4 linked regions of the Drosophila melanogaster genome follow. The protein of the gene in region 2 interacts with the protein of the main gene of each other region in a pairwise test. Each region holds a gene or a part of one and is shown on either strand. Other genes may lie near its edges. The genes, in order: CG4324, CG31111, Cpr72Ea and geminin.

Evidence for each region.
Region 1: the proteins of CG31111 (region 2) and CG4324 interact in a two-hybrid assay, tested with the Drosophila melanogaster proteins (one large-scale study listed by BioGRID).
Region 3: the proteins of CG31111 (region 2) and Cpr72Ea interact in a two-hybrid assay, tested with the Drosophila melanogaster proteins (one large-scale study listed by BioGRID).
Region 4: the proteins of CG31111 (region 2) and geminin interact in a two-hybrid assay, tested with the Drosophila melanogaster proteins (one large-scale study listed by BioGRID).

The regions. Positions count from the first base shown.
Region 1 is NT_033778.4:24,014,348-24,019,014, forward strand, and holds CG4324 (uncharacterized protein), read right to left. Parts: upstream 2,852-4,667; 5' UTR 2,613-2,851; intron 2,485-2,612; 5' UTR 2,469-2,484; coding exon 2,357-2,468; intron 2,300-2,356; coding exon 2,043-2,299; intron 1,988-2,042; coding exon 1,863-1,987; intron 1,803-1,862; coding exon 1,739-1,802; intron 1,681-1,738; coding exon 1,555-1,680; intron 1,493-1,554; coding exon 1,421-1,492; intron 1,369-1,420; coding exon 974-1,368; intron 912-973; coding exon 626-911; 3' UTR 570-625; downstream 1-569. Other genes in the region: Rsph4a (radial spoke head protein 4a), read left to right, coding at 3,167-3,471, 3,554-3,746, 3,804-4,667.
Region 2 is NT_033777.3:25,054,526-25,057,698, reverse strand, and holds CG31111 (uncharacterized protein), read left to right. Parts: upstream 1-1,521; 5' UTR 1,522-1,601; coding exon 1,602-1,664; intron 1,665-1,814; coding exon 1,815-2,561; 3' UTR 2,562-2,623; downstream 2,624-3,173. Other genes in the region: stac (staccato), read right to left, coding at 1-74, 517-599.
Region 3 is NT_037436.4:16,360,754-16,364,281, forward strand, and holds Cpr72Ea (cuticular protein 72Ea), read left to right. Parts: upstream 1-1,849; 5' UTR 1,850-1,896; coding exon 1,897-2,922; 3' UTR 2,923-2,997; downstream 2,998-3,528.
Region 4 is NT_033778.4:6,654,942-6,658,475, forward strand, and holds geminin (geminin), read right to left. Parts: upstream 1,654-3,534; 5' UTR 1,585-1,653; intron 1,514-1,584; 5' UTR 1,289-1,513; coding exon 710-1,288; 3' UTR 522-709; downstream 1-521. Other genes in the region: Opbp (Optix-binding protein), read left to right, coding at 1-169, 231-284; sced (scrambled), read left to right, coding at 2,571-3,534.

The sequences.
Region 1 (4,667 bases), on a different chromosome or scaffold from region 2:
TCCGCATCCCCATCAGTATCTGCAAATGCATTTGCATTTGCATCTGCATTTGCATCTGCATCTGCATCTGCATGTGCATAGCCATGTGCTTAGATGCCGAACAGAGCGGACGGTCTGAAAGTTTATGGCTGTCAGAGGAGTGCATATAGATTTCGGCACCCAGAGTGCGCCAGCATACATATTTAATTAAGTATTATAATATATGCGCGGGCACGAAGTTATTTATACGATCCCATACGTTATTCGCAATGTTTATGGTCAGAAATATTGGCTTGTTTAATTAATTTGCAACTGCACTTCCTCCTGTCACCTGTCAGCAATGTAATCATAAATAAGAGGAAATTGGCCTACAAAGTTGAGATTAGTCACCAATTAGACCAACACAAACGGGTAGTTAGTAGTAACACCTCCTTCAACTGAGTATTTATGCCAATGCTAGACTAGAGCTTTCCCTTTAGGAGCTTTGTTACTTGTTAGAAGCATCTTAATCTATTCTAGACTTTTTAGATTACTACTAGCCCGCTAAGCCTAAAACTAGGCAATCCGAATGAAACATTCACACAGCTTCTAGGGACTAATGGGTTTAATAGTAGTTATAGATAATAAGTTATGGTAATCAGTGCACTCAGTGGTAGCCAACAGTTTCCCTGGGCAGAAAGACGCAGGCTATGGAGGCCAGCAGGCCCACGATTGCGTACGTGGACATGGCCTGAATTCTGGACGAGTCCATCAGCACCTGCGCCACGAAAGGGGTCAGCATGGCGCCGAGTCTGGCCAGCACGGAACAGCCCGAAACTCCGACGGATCTCAAGGCAGCTGGGTATATTTCCGGAGTGTACACATAAATGGCCTGGAAGATGCCGGATATCGTGCCGCGTGCAATGAAGAGGGTTACGGAAGTGGAGAAGCGACTAGGATTGGAGGAGGATTGGATTGATTATCAGATGATCAATTGAGTGTGCACCACTACTACCTTTCCACCGACATCAGCACCAGAGTGCACAGAACCAGCGCCAGGTACTGCAGAACAATGGTTTTCTTCTTGCCAAACAGCTTGACCACCTTGATGGTCAGCAGTATTCCAGGAAACTCGGACAGGGTGATCCACAGCAGGTCCATAAAGTCGGAGGTCATGAAGGTGACGCACTCATTGGGATGGCTCTCCTTGTTCCTGGCCACCAGCAGCTCGGTCGTGACCAGCACCAGGCCGTAGTAGCAAAAGGCCGAGGCCAGCCAGAGGAACCACAACAGGATGGTGGTCCTGTACAGGCTCGGGCTGAGCAGGGATCTAAAGCTCTCCGCGCAACTGGGCTCGTCGTCGGCCATCAGCCGACCCATCAGCATGTGGCGCTTGTTGTTGTGAGCTATCTACAATCGTAGGTTTTTAGACGTATAATCACTCCATAAAGTTACCACTCACCTGTTCCAGAACCTTGATGGCCTTATCATTGTGACCGTTGTAAGAGTAATAGCGAGCCGATTCACTGAGCCACTGTAGTGATTTAAAGATACATTTGATTAAGGATATTTCTGAAGAGAGCGAGGAATACGAACCGGCGATAGGATGGTAAAAATGAGTAGGGGTGTAGCCGAAAGGGCCAAGAGACCTCGCCATCCGTAATAGGGATACACAACCAGTGCTAGGACCACTTCAAAGCAAGCTCCCAAGGCCCAGAAGCACTGAAACCAGTACAATATATTCAATAAATACGTTTAGCACACGGTGGCACGTACTCACGTCCATCAATACGACGCACTTTCCCTTGTGCTTGGTGGGCAGAAACTCAGCGTACAAGGTAACTCTTTTGGGTTAAAGAAAGTTTTAGGTGGAGAGGTACCTCCTAGTCCATGGAATTACTCACGACTGTGGAACGCAGCCGATGGCGAAGCCTACGAGACCTCTTAGGGTCAGGAGCCAGGCGTAACTGGGAGCCACCGAGCTGAGAATGCTATACAGCACTAGTAGTACTCCGAACAATGTGAGGGCCTGAAATGGTGGCATTTTAGTAGCTATTAGCTATTTGATTACCAGTCAGTCTTACCGACTTCCGGCCATATCTGTTGCTCAGCTGTGTCCAAAAACTGGAACTCAACATCATGCCCAAAAACACCACTGTTGTGACGGATGCCTGCTGGAACTTGGTGACATTCCACTCGCAGAACAAAGACGGGCCCAATATGCTGAGAATGGCCATTTCCATGGAGTCGGACATCCAGCAGAGCCCCACCAAGAGCGACAGCTTGACGTGAAACCATCCGAAACCGAAGGCATTGATCGCCTGCTGAACAGTGTAGGTATCTGTGAAAGGTGCACTTGTTACCCGAAATGTGTGAAATTCCTCTTCGGACCACTTACCATCCGGATTTATAGACACCGTCTTCAGCTCCAATGTGGATGAGTGCACATCCCGTGGGGCGAGATTTGCGGGAGATGGAAGGGCGGCTGGCTCGTTGTTCAGATAGTACATCTTGAATCTAGAATCACTTAGAAAAGTAACTTTGTCATTGAATTGCATCTTACAATCCAACTATATCAAATATCACATTTTTTAACCCGCGATTTCGATTACATCATGATTTTTATGATTTTATTATGCATTAGCATAAATTACCTTCCTCAACCGTAAAGAAAGTTGTTCTCGATTTTAAGACTGTGATTTATGTCTTCGTATGCAGATACACAGAGATTTATCCATTATATTTGAACATATTCGAATTTGCGATCTCGAAGTTAGTTAATTCTGCTAATTCTGATTAGGAAACACACAACAAATAGTTTAAGCCACAGCACAAACAACAACTTTCTTTCAAGCACTTTCTTTTAGCCAGTGAGAGACTGAGAATCGAATGCAATGTAAACAACTCGCACCACCAAGTCTCAAAAACTGGTTATAAGGTAACGACTGAAGAAGACTGTCTTCCAGACTGTGAGATCGATAACGATAGATGGCGCGCAGCTCGAAGAATTCAAAATCGTTGATAAGTTATAAGATTATTAACATTAAACATTGCAAGTTGGTATTATTTGTATGGAATTGAAAATATTTTTTAAAATAACTAAATAGGCTGATTGTCAAACCATTACTCCTACAATTATTGGGTTTTCCCAAGCCAAACAACACATGCTTTTGAGGATTTTAGATCAGAGTCTCACTATTCCATCGCGATGGACAGGGATTCCTGCCAAAATTTCTCATTAGACTCCACGAGCAGTTCCCATTTTGCTCCTCCGCCAGTTTGCGCGCCCAGAAGGAAGAAGCCGGAGAAGCCCGCAGCTGAGGAGGCATCTCCCGAATGCTCCAACGTCACATCGTCATCCTCGTCCTCGACAACCACCATATCCATAGGCGCCTTCGATTCGCAATGCAACCTCCACAACGCCCGGAATCCCGAGGCCCCGAACATTGGCTATGAGTTGAACGTGGCCAAGTCCATATTGCAGAAGTATAGCACCCTCAGTGGGGACAACTTGTGAGTATAGGATATCGTCTTAAGTACTTGGTACTCTTTCTCCAAGTCGGTTAGTACATAACCCAATCTTCAATCCCTGCAGGTTCGATCATCTTAGTGACATCATAAAGAGGGTGATTGACGAACGTCCTCCGAATGTGATAGACTTCTTCGAGGAATTTAGCCGAAATGTTCGCGAACAGAAGTTCCACTTGCCAGAACGCTTTCCGCCCAGTGGCGTGTTCGATGAGGTGCGATCTTTCCGGGTGGCCAAGAAAATTCTCCAATCCATGAAGGTGAGCAGTGTGTTATGTATATAAGCAGCTACACCACGCAACTACCATCTCGCATAGCTGCCCTATGTCGTTGAGGGTGAGGATCTGATGGGCGAAGACCTGTCCGTCGAGGATTTGAGAACGAACGAGGATATGCGCATTGTCATCGACGATTCCATGCGATACTTCGTCACATTCAACGAGCGAGTCCAGCAGCTGCAGTTCTATTGGACACAGTGCGGATTTAGCATCAGCAACGACGACATCTTCCAGCTGGCCAGCGCCATGAACCGGCTGCAGACGCATCCCTCGATCATGCAATGCAGATTCTGGGGCTGCATCAACGGACTGAAGGCCTCTTACTACATAGTGGAAGCTTCGCTCACCCGCGAGGAAATCGCCTCGCGCTTGGTCATGATGGAGGAAGAGATGCGGCAGAAGCAGATTCCGTTCCCGATGCGCAAGGACAGGGAGGACAAGCCACCGCCGGCGCACATTGGGCCGGAGCTCACACCGGGCATCTATGGCTGGGAGGAATTTCCGCCTGAGGAGCTCGAGAAGATGAAGCCCAAGGCTGCGCCCGTTCCCCTGGTGGAGGAGATGGAGCTCTACGACATTCCACCGGAGTTCATTGGCAAGGGCTGCAATAGGTACTCCTATTTCGTTGTGAACTCGCTATTTGACGACTGGATCGAACTACCTATAGTGACCCCTCGACAGATTGTCGTTTCGCGGCAGATCAAGAAGTTCCTAACAGGCGATCTGGAGGCGGATGTCATATCCTACCCCTGCTTCCCTGGAAAGGAGAAACATTACCTACGGACTCTGATAGGTCGCATCACAGCGGGTACCTACATCGCTCCTGTGGGCTACTACAGGCGCATGACCAAGAAGGAGCAGCGGATGTTCGATGGCGAGGAAGAAGAAGAGGGCGAGGAGGAG
Region 2 (3,173 bases):
CCTCATCGATTTGGGACTTCTGCCGCAGTAGGGATCCAAACTTTTCGAAAAATCCATCATCTCCGTCTTGCAGTCTGCGGAAAAAGTGCAATTAGTAAATAATTCGAAAAAAGTCATTAAATATTATCTGCACTGGCTAGTCATCACTTAATGGGGATTTCATTTCGATTAGGGATACTCGTACTATGAGCAAGCTTATGTAGATGTATTTGAAAGCCCAGTGAAAAATACCCTAAAACTGAGTCATGTTTTAGTTGCGAGTGGGTGGTAAAATCGATCTGTGGCTTCCCCCACTCCCTTACATCACTTGCCATTCCTCACGCACACACGTTAATTTCACTTGATAATCTTTAATTTATCTGATGACACAGTTCCAGTTCTCCAAAATGTTCATATTTGTCTAGAGAAATAGAAACACACATTTCGGCTCGTCTGGCGAACAAATGTTTGTCTATCGGTGAGTTTTCAAGTTTTCTACAGGTATGCGTGAGTCTGTATTTTATTCATCCAACTTACTGGTGTTCATGCTCCGTGGGTGGATTCATTTTGAGCTCCTGCAACTTGAAGAAGAAGCCCTTCCACATCTGCTCCTCGTCCATTGTGATGTTGCGTTTTTAGCTTCAGAGGCACTGAATCGAAATCGGAATCCAACAAGTGTCACCGGAGTGTAGAAACATACTAACGGCTTATTTGCACCGAAACCGAAACGAACAAACGATGTGATTCATTGCCAAAGCTGCTCTCCGACGTAGATTTTTCTCAGTGGTATTCACACGCTCTTCCCTACACTATCGCAAACACATTATAATGAGCTATGGATGTTTGTAGTATCTAACATTGGGCGAAAGTGGGGAAATGGGAAGGAACGGGATGATACATACAGACAGACACCTGTTGCCATGGTGATCGGACGTTTTTTCTAGCTCTCATGCTAATGATTTTAAAAACTTATAGTTTGTAACTCTTGAAATTGTTGAATGAAAATCCATTAAGAAGTTACCAATCATCAATGGTTCTAATGGTGGTAAGCCTCACGCACACCTGTTTATGTACATATACTCTTGAAGGGCTAGGTGTTGGTATTCTTGTAACTACCTTTGCAGACTGGTGCTTCCATGGTCAAACTACGCACTTTAAGGCACATTTTCAGATGCCAAGCTAAATTATGTGCGCAACTATTTAACTACTTTAAAAACATACCTTATTTTTTCAAATATCCTTAATTCCGAGCGCCGGAAGTAACTTTTTAACATGATTAAGTCCTTTGCAAGGTCAGAATGCCAGATTGAATTAGGCTAAGAGGATTTGCAAATCCATTAGGAATTTCCTTAATTTCAATTCGAATTAACGTCTCCGTTTGTTTTTTTCGCACCCTTTAAAACTTTATTTATATCTTTTAAAATAAACAAAGATTAGATTAGATCAGTTTTGTTTATTAATTTGGTATGTAAGATATACCAACATAAATGAATCTACCGAATACCGTATTTCGATAACTTACGAATGGCAGCCCTGCAGTCCGATAATCATAACAAACCCACGGCAATAACAACAAACAAATCGTATCTCTTGTTTTTGCTGAAATTATAAATTAAAAAGCAATGAATTTAAAGTATAAGCGGCGCTACGAGAGCTTAAAACGCTCCGTCAAGAGTTATCTACTGGTAAGATCTTAGAAACTAGGGCGAAGTTATGCAAACTTAAGAGTATTTACAAGAAACCTTAAGATTCCTACTCACATATATGTTTACATTATAGCATAAAACATTTACGGGAAGTTATATGATCTATTAACTTTATAATACCAATTTCAGGAGAACGCCGCCCTCACGGATGAGATCTGTCGTCTGCAGGCCGAACTATCTGTGACCCGATCCCAAAGACTTTACTTGATAGAGCGCCTCATGTTTCACGAGGGCTTGGAGAAATCCAACAGTGGACGACCCAGTGTCTCGAATGGAAAAAACGACGCCGCTGAAACCACAAAGAAATACAGTCCTGTAGTTTCGCATAAGAACCCCGTCGAAGATAAGCCAAAAAATGTTACAATTGTACGGAAAAAGAAGCCCATGTTTCCGATGAACCTAAATAATGTATTACTCCACTCACTGGGCGAGATTATATCAGTGAATCCCAATTTTCACACTGAGAGCTGGATATATCCCGTGGGATATGTGGCCACACGAATCTACGCCCATCCCAAGGATCCGCGCAAGAAGTGTGTGTTCACATGTAAGATTTTAAATAACGCCGGGATTCCTCAGTTCCAAATAATACCCGACAATGATCTGGATGGAGTTTTCTTCGGAGAAAGCGCCAATATGTGTCACATGGAGCTTCTAAACTCCATTCAGCGGTCTCCCTGCGTTAAAATTAAAATACCGTTCGACGTACAGGGCGAGGTTTTCTTTGGCTTGTCAAACCAAAAAACACAATCGCTGCTTATGATGGATCCTGCCTTTCATCAGTGCACGAATTTCAAGGGATTCGCGGTGCAGAATGTGCAGTCCTTAAACAGCGCGTCTTTATCCTTTGAGACGCTCCAGGGATTTCTATCTTGATAAGATCTGTTTTTACTATTTGATTCTCGATATAAGAATAATAAGTTTATAATATAAAGACGAATTTTATTTCTCTGATACAATCGTTGCGAGAAGTACTTAGTTATGTACCTAAGTATGTACCTGGTACATGATACGAAAACACTAAAAACCCGAAACAGCTGATCTGTTTCAATTCCATCTCGTCCGTTTCAAAATATACTTTCCAGCTGTATAATACGTTATAATACAGTTTAAAATATTAAATTATTACGAGTGTTTGGGACAGATTGGTTAACAATTTCCAGTTAAATAGATAACATATTATTCTAAAAACTCTTTGTCCCACTTCCGCATGATTCAATGTGCTAAAATCATATGTTTTATGTGGGCATTCGCGGTTATTTCAAATGAAACTGTGCATTTGTACAATTGTTGTCAACTATCGACTTTTCTATAGAAATGCCGAAAAAAACAAGCTGGCAACCTGCCGAGGCAATCGGAAATACAACCCTCGAATCGAAACATATGTACACAACACCTATCTGAAAAGTATTAAACAATATTTTGGGAAAGTTGTTTTGGCTAGCGTTAAATTAAACGACATCCCAACCAGCAGCTGAGGATATAGCC
Region 3 (3,528 bases), on a different chromosome or scaffold from region 2:
TTTTCTAGGACATAAAATCAAAGTACTCCCAGTCCTGAAAAATGAAAAACATGATTCTTGCCACCTGGCCTATCTTAAGTGCACCTTTAATTAGCCACGAAGGCAGTTCAAAGAACCAATGGTGGTACACAAATCAGGGCACAGTCCACTCGAGACAGAACAAAGGGAGTGAACCAAGTGGACCGGACTATATTGCCAATCCAACTTCAATTCCAGGCCAGAACTAACCAGCTCATTAAGCCAGGCTGGAATGGTTGTAGAGAATTGGGCTTTGATTGAAACTGAGTGCCAACGGGGCTAACATTAAAACGCACTTATCAGCCGAGCCGTCAAGGCCAATCCAATGTGGTTCTTGCAGTTGCTCCTCCTCCTCCTCCTAATCGGGAGCGAAGTTTAAGCACCAGAGATCTGAGGCATCCGATAAGCCCGCTGCTAAAAATAAAAATGACCAGCGAAGGAGGAACAGGAGATACCAATGCAGCTGCAGTGCATCAGAGGCGGATGGGAAACATATTCTTAGGGGGTTTTCTTAGTGTCCGGTTGAAATAAGTATATATCTTCAGTGTATACTATAAGGTGTCTAAAAATTCACATTATATTATTTATTTAGCGGACTTAACGATTTAATTAACCCTTTTCTGTGTCATATTTGTAAGCTCTTCGCATAAAACATATATTTCTTATGTACATACATATGTATCTAACCAAGTATTATAATTTTTAAGGGTACTTATGACCCCCCTAAGACCCCCATTTTGTTCGCCACTGGAGTGCATGACTCCCGTGTCCAAGCTGTGGCCAAATGTGGCCCTTGGCCTTCACTCACCTTGAGATGCCGTTGTTGTCGTCGTCGGTTGTTGCCACAGTTGTTGCATTTGCTGTTGCAGTTGAAGTTGCTGTTGTTGTCGTGGCCCCGTTGCAGTGTGCGAACAAAAAGGAGGCTGAGATGCCACAATGCTGTGGCAGCAACAACGATTGCATATCAATTACACGCTGGTCTGGATGCGGTCTTTGGCCTTGATGGTCCACCCAGCCAAGGCCCTTGGCTCGCTTGCAGATCCAGATGCAGATGCAGATGGAGATGCCAGGCAGCGATTGCTCCTCCCGCTGCGGAGAACCAGGGTCTGCCTCCCTCATTTGGGCCCACTCCAGCCTTGGCCACAATTAAACCAAATTGACAACGCCTTCACGAGGCGTCGATCCCCAAAAGGGGAGTGAAAGGCGGAGCTGCAATGTCCGTTAACGACACAAGTGGACACGACGACGCATTCGCATCTCCTCGTTTGCATTGAAGTGCATCTGATGGATACATTTGGAGAAAAAATTAATTGGCTGTTTACTATTTTAAAATGTGACAGATATTATTACTATTAGGTTATTCTTTAATGAAATACGTGTGCTTGTACAAATTTGATGAATTCTATTTAAGTACAATAAACCACCTTTTTTATCAATAATAAAATATTTTTTTAATGATTGTCATAATCATAAAATTAAAATTTCAGGAATTTAAGAACAGTCTTTTTTAGCAATATTATTATTTATATGCATTTAAATTTATGTTTTAAGCTTTGTACAAATCATTATTAAACAAATTACGAACTACTTATTTTTGGATTTAATTTAAGTCATAAAAATCACGTTACTATATTAGGGTAAAAGAGCATAAAACATTTGTATACTCTCTTAGATAATAATATGGCATACTTTTAGAATTTTTTCGCAGTGTATCAGAATAGAAGCATCTGACCGGCAGGAACCTCAGCCAGAACCAGAACCTAGAACTCGCGAAAGAACCTGCTGGGTATAAAAGGATGAAGACCTAGGCTCAGAATCAACAGTTACCAGTGAACTGACGAACAAGACTCACTCGAAGCAATCTTCCACTGCCCAACCATGAAGTATCCACTTCTGCTGTTAGGAAGCCTCAGCTTGGCCCACGGACTGGCCTTGTACTATCCCTATGCGTACACTGCCGAGGGATCCGCCGTGTTCACGCCCACCCAGCGCCAGTATATCGCCAAGGATGAGTTGGGTCAGTACTCCTATGGCTATTCGGAACCATTGTCCAGCAAACAGGAGACCCGCACCCTAGACGGAATCACCCAAGGATACTATAGTTACCGGGATGCGGCGGGAAAGCTGCAAACGGTTAACTATGTGGCCGACAACAAAGGTTTCCATGTGGCAGCCACTAATCTGCCAAAGGCTAAAGTTCCCCAGGAGTCGCTAGAATTTAGTCCCAGGAGCGCGTCGCATCCAGTAGACCACCATGTTGAGCATCACGCGGAGGTGTCGCATGCTGTAGTTCAGCATCCTGTTGGCCACCATCCCATTGAAGTTCCACATCATCACACTGTTGTTGAAAGCGGACGAAGTGCTCATCCAGATGGACATCATCCCGTCGAGCACCACGAGCACCGCGTTGCTGTAGCTCAGCATCCTGTTGGCCATCATCCCGTGGAAGTTCCACATCATCACACTGTTGTCGAAACCGGCCGAAGTGCTCATCCAGATGGACATCATCCCGTCGAGCACCATGAGCACCCCGTTGCTGTAGCTCAGCATCCTGTTGGCAACCATCCCGTTGAGGTTCCTCATCATCACACTGTCGTTGAGAGCGGTCGAAGTGCTCATCCAGAGGTGCCCCATTCTATCGAACACCACGAGCACCCGGTTTCTGGCTCAGACCCATCCGGATCCCATGGTGGCCACTCCCAATTGCCTCATCCCGTTTCTGATACCGCAGAAGTGGCTGCGGCCAAGTCGCTTCATCTTCAACGCGTCCACGATGAAGGCGTGCGCAACCAGGTGCTGGCCAAGATTCCAGTTGCTGTGGCTCGCAGCCACCATGTCGTGGTTCCTGCTCCGGTCTACGGCTACACCATTCCCAGGTACTACACCCCCGGATTTTACTATTGAATGGCAGCTGAATTCGCACGATTTGGTTCATTATTTAAGAATTTCGAATTTAAATTAAAAAATTGTCAATCAGTCTGCAACGTTTCTTTTGAAGTGGTAATGGGATAATATAAAGAAATTTTTAGCAAATTCATTTTGGTAACACAATATTTGTTCGAAATATATTCTTTCTAAGTATTCTTTCTAAAATTATTCTTCAATCAACAAATTTCTTTATAATTTCTAGTTTTAACATTTGTATCTTTATTTGAATATAATCATAACTAAACTCGCGACACCTAAAGTTCAAGATCCGGCTGAACTGAACCCTTTAGCTGCCCAACTCCTGGACTCACGGAACACGTTCACTCGGACCCTGTCCTACCTCAACCTTTTGGCCCCCCGACCCACCGATCACATTCCACATATGTGCAGCATAAACTCTTCATAAATGTGGGCCGAATTTTGATTTCAATTAAATTTAATAGCAGCATAAACAACGGCAAAGGCAACAACCTAAATAACTAAAACTGGAATTGGTAGCCGGCGTGTCCTATAGCCCCACCCGGTTCCTTGACCCCTATCCGGATGATTTGCAGCTCACACTGAGAGAAACAAATGACCAAT
Region 4 (3,534 bases), on a different chromosome or scaffold from region 2:
GCAGGAGAATCCCGCCACCTCAACTGATGCTGCACACGTCGCTGAGACCGATGATTCCGAGACTGCGGTGTTGATAGCGGCAGCCGAGGCAGATGCCGCTTACATAAACGCTGTGGTAAACGATGTAGACATCGTGGGCACCGTACCCACCTACGAAGAGTGCGTTGTGGTGAGTTACTAGTTCTTTGTATCTCTTCCCAAACTTACCTTTTTCTCTTCCTTTATTGCAGTTTGACGTGGATAACTTCCACAGCGAGGAAGTTATTACAGATTGGCTTAAGTAGCAGTTCACAGTTTTACATCCAATAAATATTTGTCTCAAAAATATGTTGTACCTTGAGTATTTTATTTTTGCGTTAGCTCCCCACACATTGAAATCCATCCGCATTGATGTAAGCTAATAAACACATTTGTTTTGATGTAGAATTAATGAAAGGAAAAGAGCATATCTAAACTAGCATATGGATGCGAAATGGTTTATATAAGTTGCACATAAAATACAGGAATACGAATTAAATATTGTGTGCAATTGTGCAAATGTAAAACTTTATTAGGATTATAACTGGCGTGTAACAAGTAAATATATTGCTGGCGTACAATTAGACCAGCCGTTGTGTTGGCTGACGACGAACAGGGATATAAACGCGATATTTAACTACAACTAAATGTAAAACCTTAGACTAAAAAAAACGTGTGATTGGTGTGTAGCCTAGGCGTTGACCTTGTCCTCGTCACCCGTAGTGTCGTCCTCCTCCACCTCGCTGTTGTCCTCTTCGCAGATCTCCTTCAGGACCTCCACCAAATTCTTGGCCTCGTCCAGTTCCTGGCGCATAGTGTCCATCTCCTCCTCAAGCCCCTCGATGCGCTCGTGCAGATGGCGGTTTTCGGTGAGCGAGTCCTCCAGCGCCAGTCGCCGCTGCTCGGCCAGCAGCTTGTAGTAGTTCTCGCCGGGTTCGGCTGTGCTAGTGAGATCCTCTGCCGTGATGGGCTTGTCAGCATTGCCAAGCGGAACGGCCTCAGCATCAGTCTGGGTATCCGCATCCTTTGTGGAAATCGCGGGCGCCGTGTCCACGCATTTGCGCTTGCCGTACTTGGGCGCGACTTGGACGCCGGCCTTCAGACGACTCAGCTGATCCACGATGGAGGCGCGCCCTGAACCAGTGAGGTTCTCCTTATCGTTTACGTTGCCCTGCAAGGGTTTCAGGGTCTGTCTCTGCTGCTTCAGGTGCTCCTTCTGCTCGGCCTCTGTCTCGACTTGGATGTAGACCCTGGCAGCGCTCGAAGACATCTTCGGAGATGTGTATTGTGCTTTCGGTGGGTTTGGTTGTCAGGCGGCAGAGCGTGTGCTACTTGCTTGTCTGTTGTTTATGCATTAATTTGTGCGCAACGCTTCACAGTTTTCCATTCGTTGTAATGGCCGCCAAAAAATGCCGATGCCGCGCGCTGTTGTCCAACACTGTTTGCTCAAGGGGCTGCATCACATGCAATTTCATCCCTCGATTTCGTGTCACGACTATCGCAAAAAGTTACCAAATTATTTTAGGAATGTAAAATTAAGATATCCCTTAAAATATAATTACAAACCTACAAAAATAATGTGAAAAATAACAAATCCTACGACTGCTATGTAGTAGAGTACTTCAAAATATTACCAATCATTCATATTAAATAATTATGTTAATAAAATATTAAATAAAAGCTTGCTGTATTCTTGCTGGTGGATGCTTATCAAAAAAGTATAGTATTAAAATTTCTGTATAAAGCAAAACTAAAAACAAAAAATGCAGCTTACTTTTTGGAAACAGTTTTCTAGCGATGTTTTTAAATTGAAAGAAAACCATACCTACCCTGTGTTTTAAACGACAAAAACAGTTAGACAGATACCTAATTTTAAAGTTAAATTTTTACTTCTTTTGCAAATCATAATTCATACTCAGCCAAGTAGAAGTCAAATATACCCCAATGTCGGATGTAGAATTTTAAATACTAAAAGGAAATGCCTAACATTTTTGAAAACATCATTAGCGTTTTTTAATAATAAATATTAAAATAGCTATAAAGCGAAGTATAAATAGGATTTTAGTTTTTATTTGTTTGGTTTTAGACCTGGTTATGGATCTTGAAAATAATTTAAAAGATTGTGTAAATTAGTTAAGAGATTATAAATAAGAATTGCTTGGATACTACCTTCTTATTAAGCTAGTACTCAAGATGTCCAAATAACATGTAAGCATTTAGCATTTAAAAGTATAAATAAAGAACTTAAAAGAGCTGTGTAGCTTAGGCTGAGCACCTTAAGTTTGATTGATGTATATTGAAGTTATAAATTCATTTGTTGGTCTTCTAGAAACGCGATTTCTGTGATATTCCGCCAGGTGGCAACGCCAGTCACGTCACGAGGACACGAAGGATAAACGTGCGATAAGAGAATAGCCGATAAGAGCTCCACCCAGTCGCAAAAAAGATGTAATTCTCGAAGTAGCGGATATAGATCGTTTACTTTTTTATTTTTCACTCGCAACTCATTCACCGCACCTCCATCCGCCCCACCACGTAGCAGTAGCCCCAAGATGGACCACAACGAAATCTCCATGACTATGGACGCCAAGCTGGATACACACGATAAGCGACCAGTGGCGCTGCGTTACAAGACATGGACCCGCTGCCAAGTGAAAATAGAGGCCATTAAGTGTGTGCCCTGCTTCCTGCGGCTCAGTTTCCAGGCCATGGAGACCGAGTCTCACTCCCAAGAGTGTCACCCCGCTAAACCCATTAGCGTCTCCGTAAACGTTCCGGGCGTCAGCTTGAGCCTGGCTACCTCGCGCACGAAGCAGCACTCGTACGGGCTGTTTTGGACGCAAAATCGGCGGGACTGCTTCATCTATTTCGCCCTGGAAACGGAGACATCCTGCCGACGTCACATGAAATGGATGCGGAAGTCGATTAAGAATCTGGAACTTTATCGCCAGGTCTTTCTAGAACAGCGCCGGCTGAGCAGGGGTCCCGGAGGTCTGGGCCCACTGCCTAACCTGCCGGAAACCCTCGACGCTAGCGCTCTCTCTCCGCGAGTCTCGCAAATATACGAGGAGATTTTTGACGGCAGCCGCATCTCCCGCGTCTCAATCGCATCCGGCATTTACGAAGAGATGAAGCCGTCAGTCATGGAGACTCCTTCACCGCCACCGCTGCCCGCACATCCTTACCGTCAGCGAATAAACACTTTTGAGTGCGCCCAGCTTGGCGAGATTGCGCGGTCCAGCACCAATCCCGAATCGGAGCTGGCCAAGAAGAAGAAATACAAGAACATGCTGGACAACCTGTTCGGGAGTTCACGTCAAAAGCGTTCCGGCAGCACCAGCGAGGTGGCCAATGAACCCAGCGATGAGGTCCTGCCACTGTATGAGAATGCCCCCACGCCGGAGCCTGTGCTTCCGGTAAAGCGCACATCCCAGTTGAACAAGTCTCAGCGTAATAGCTTCTCAAGTCCGGACTTGTCCAAACTCAATCTGCTGGACACCTTTGGAGAATACTTCG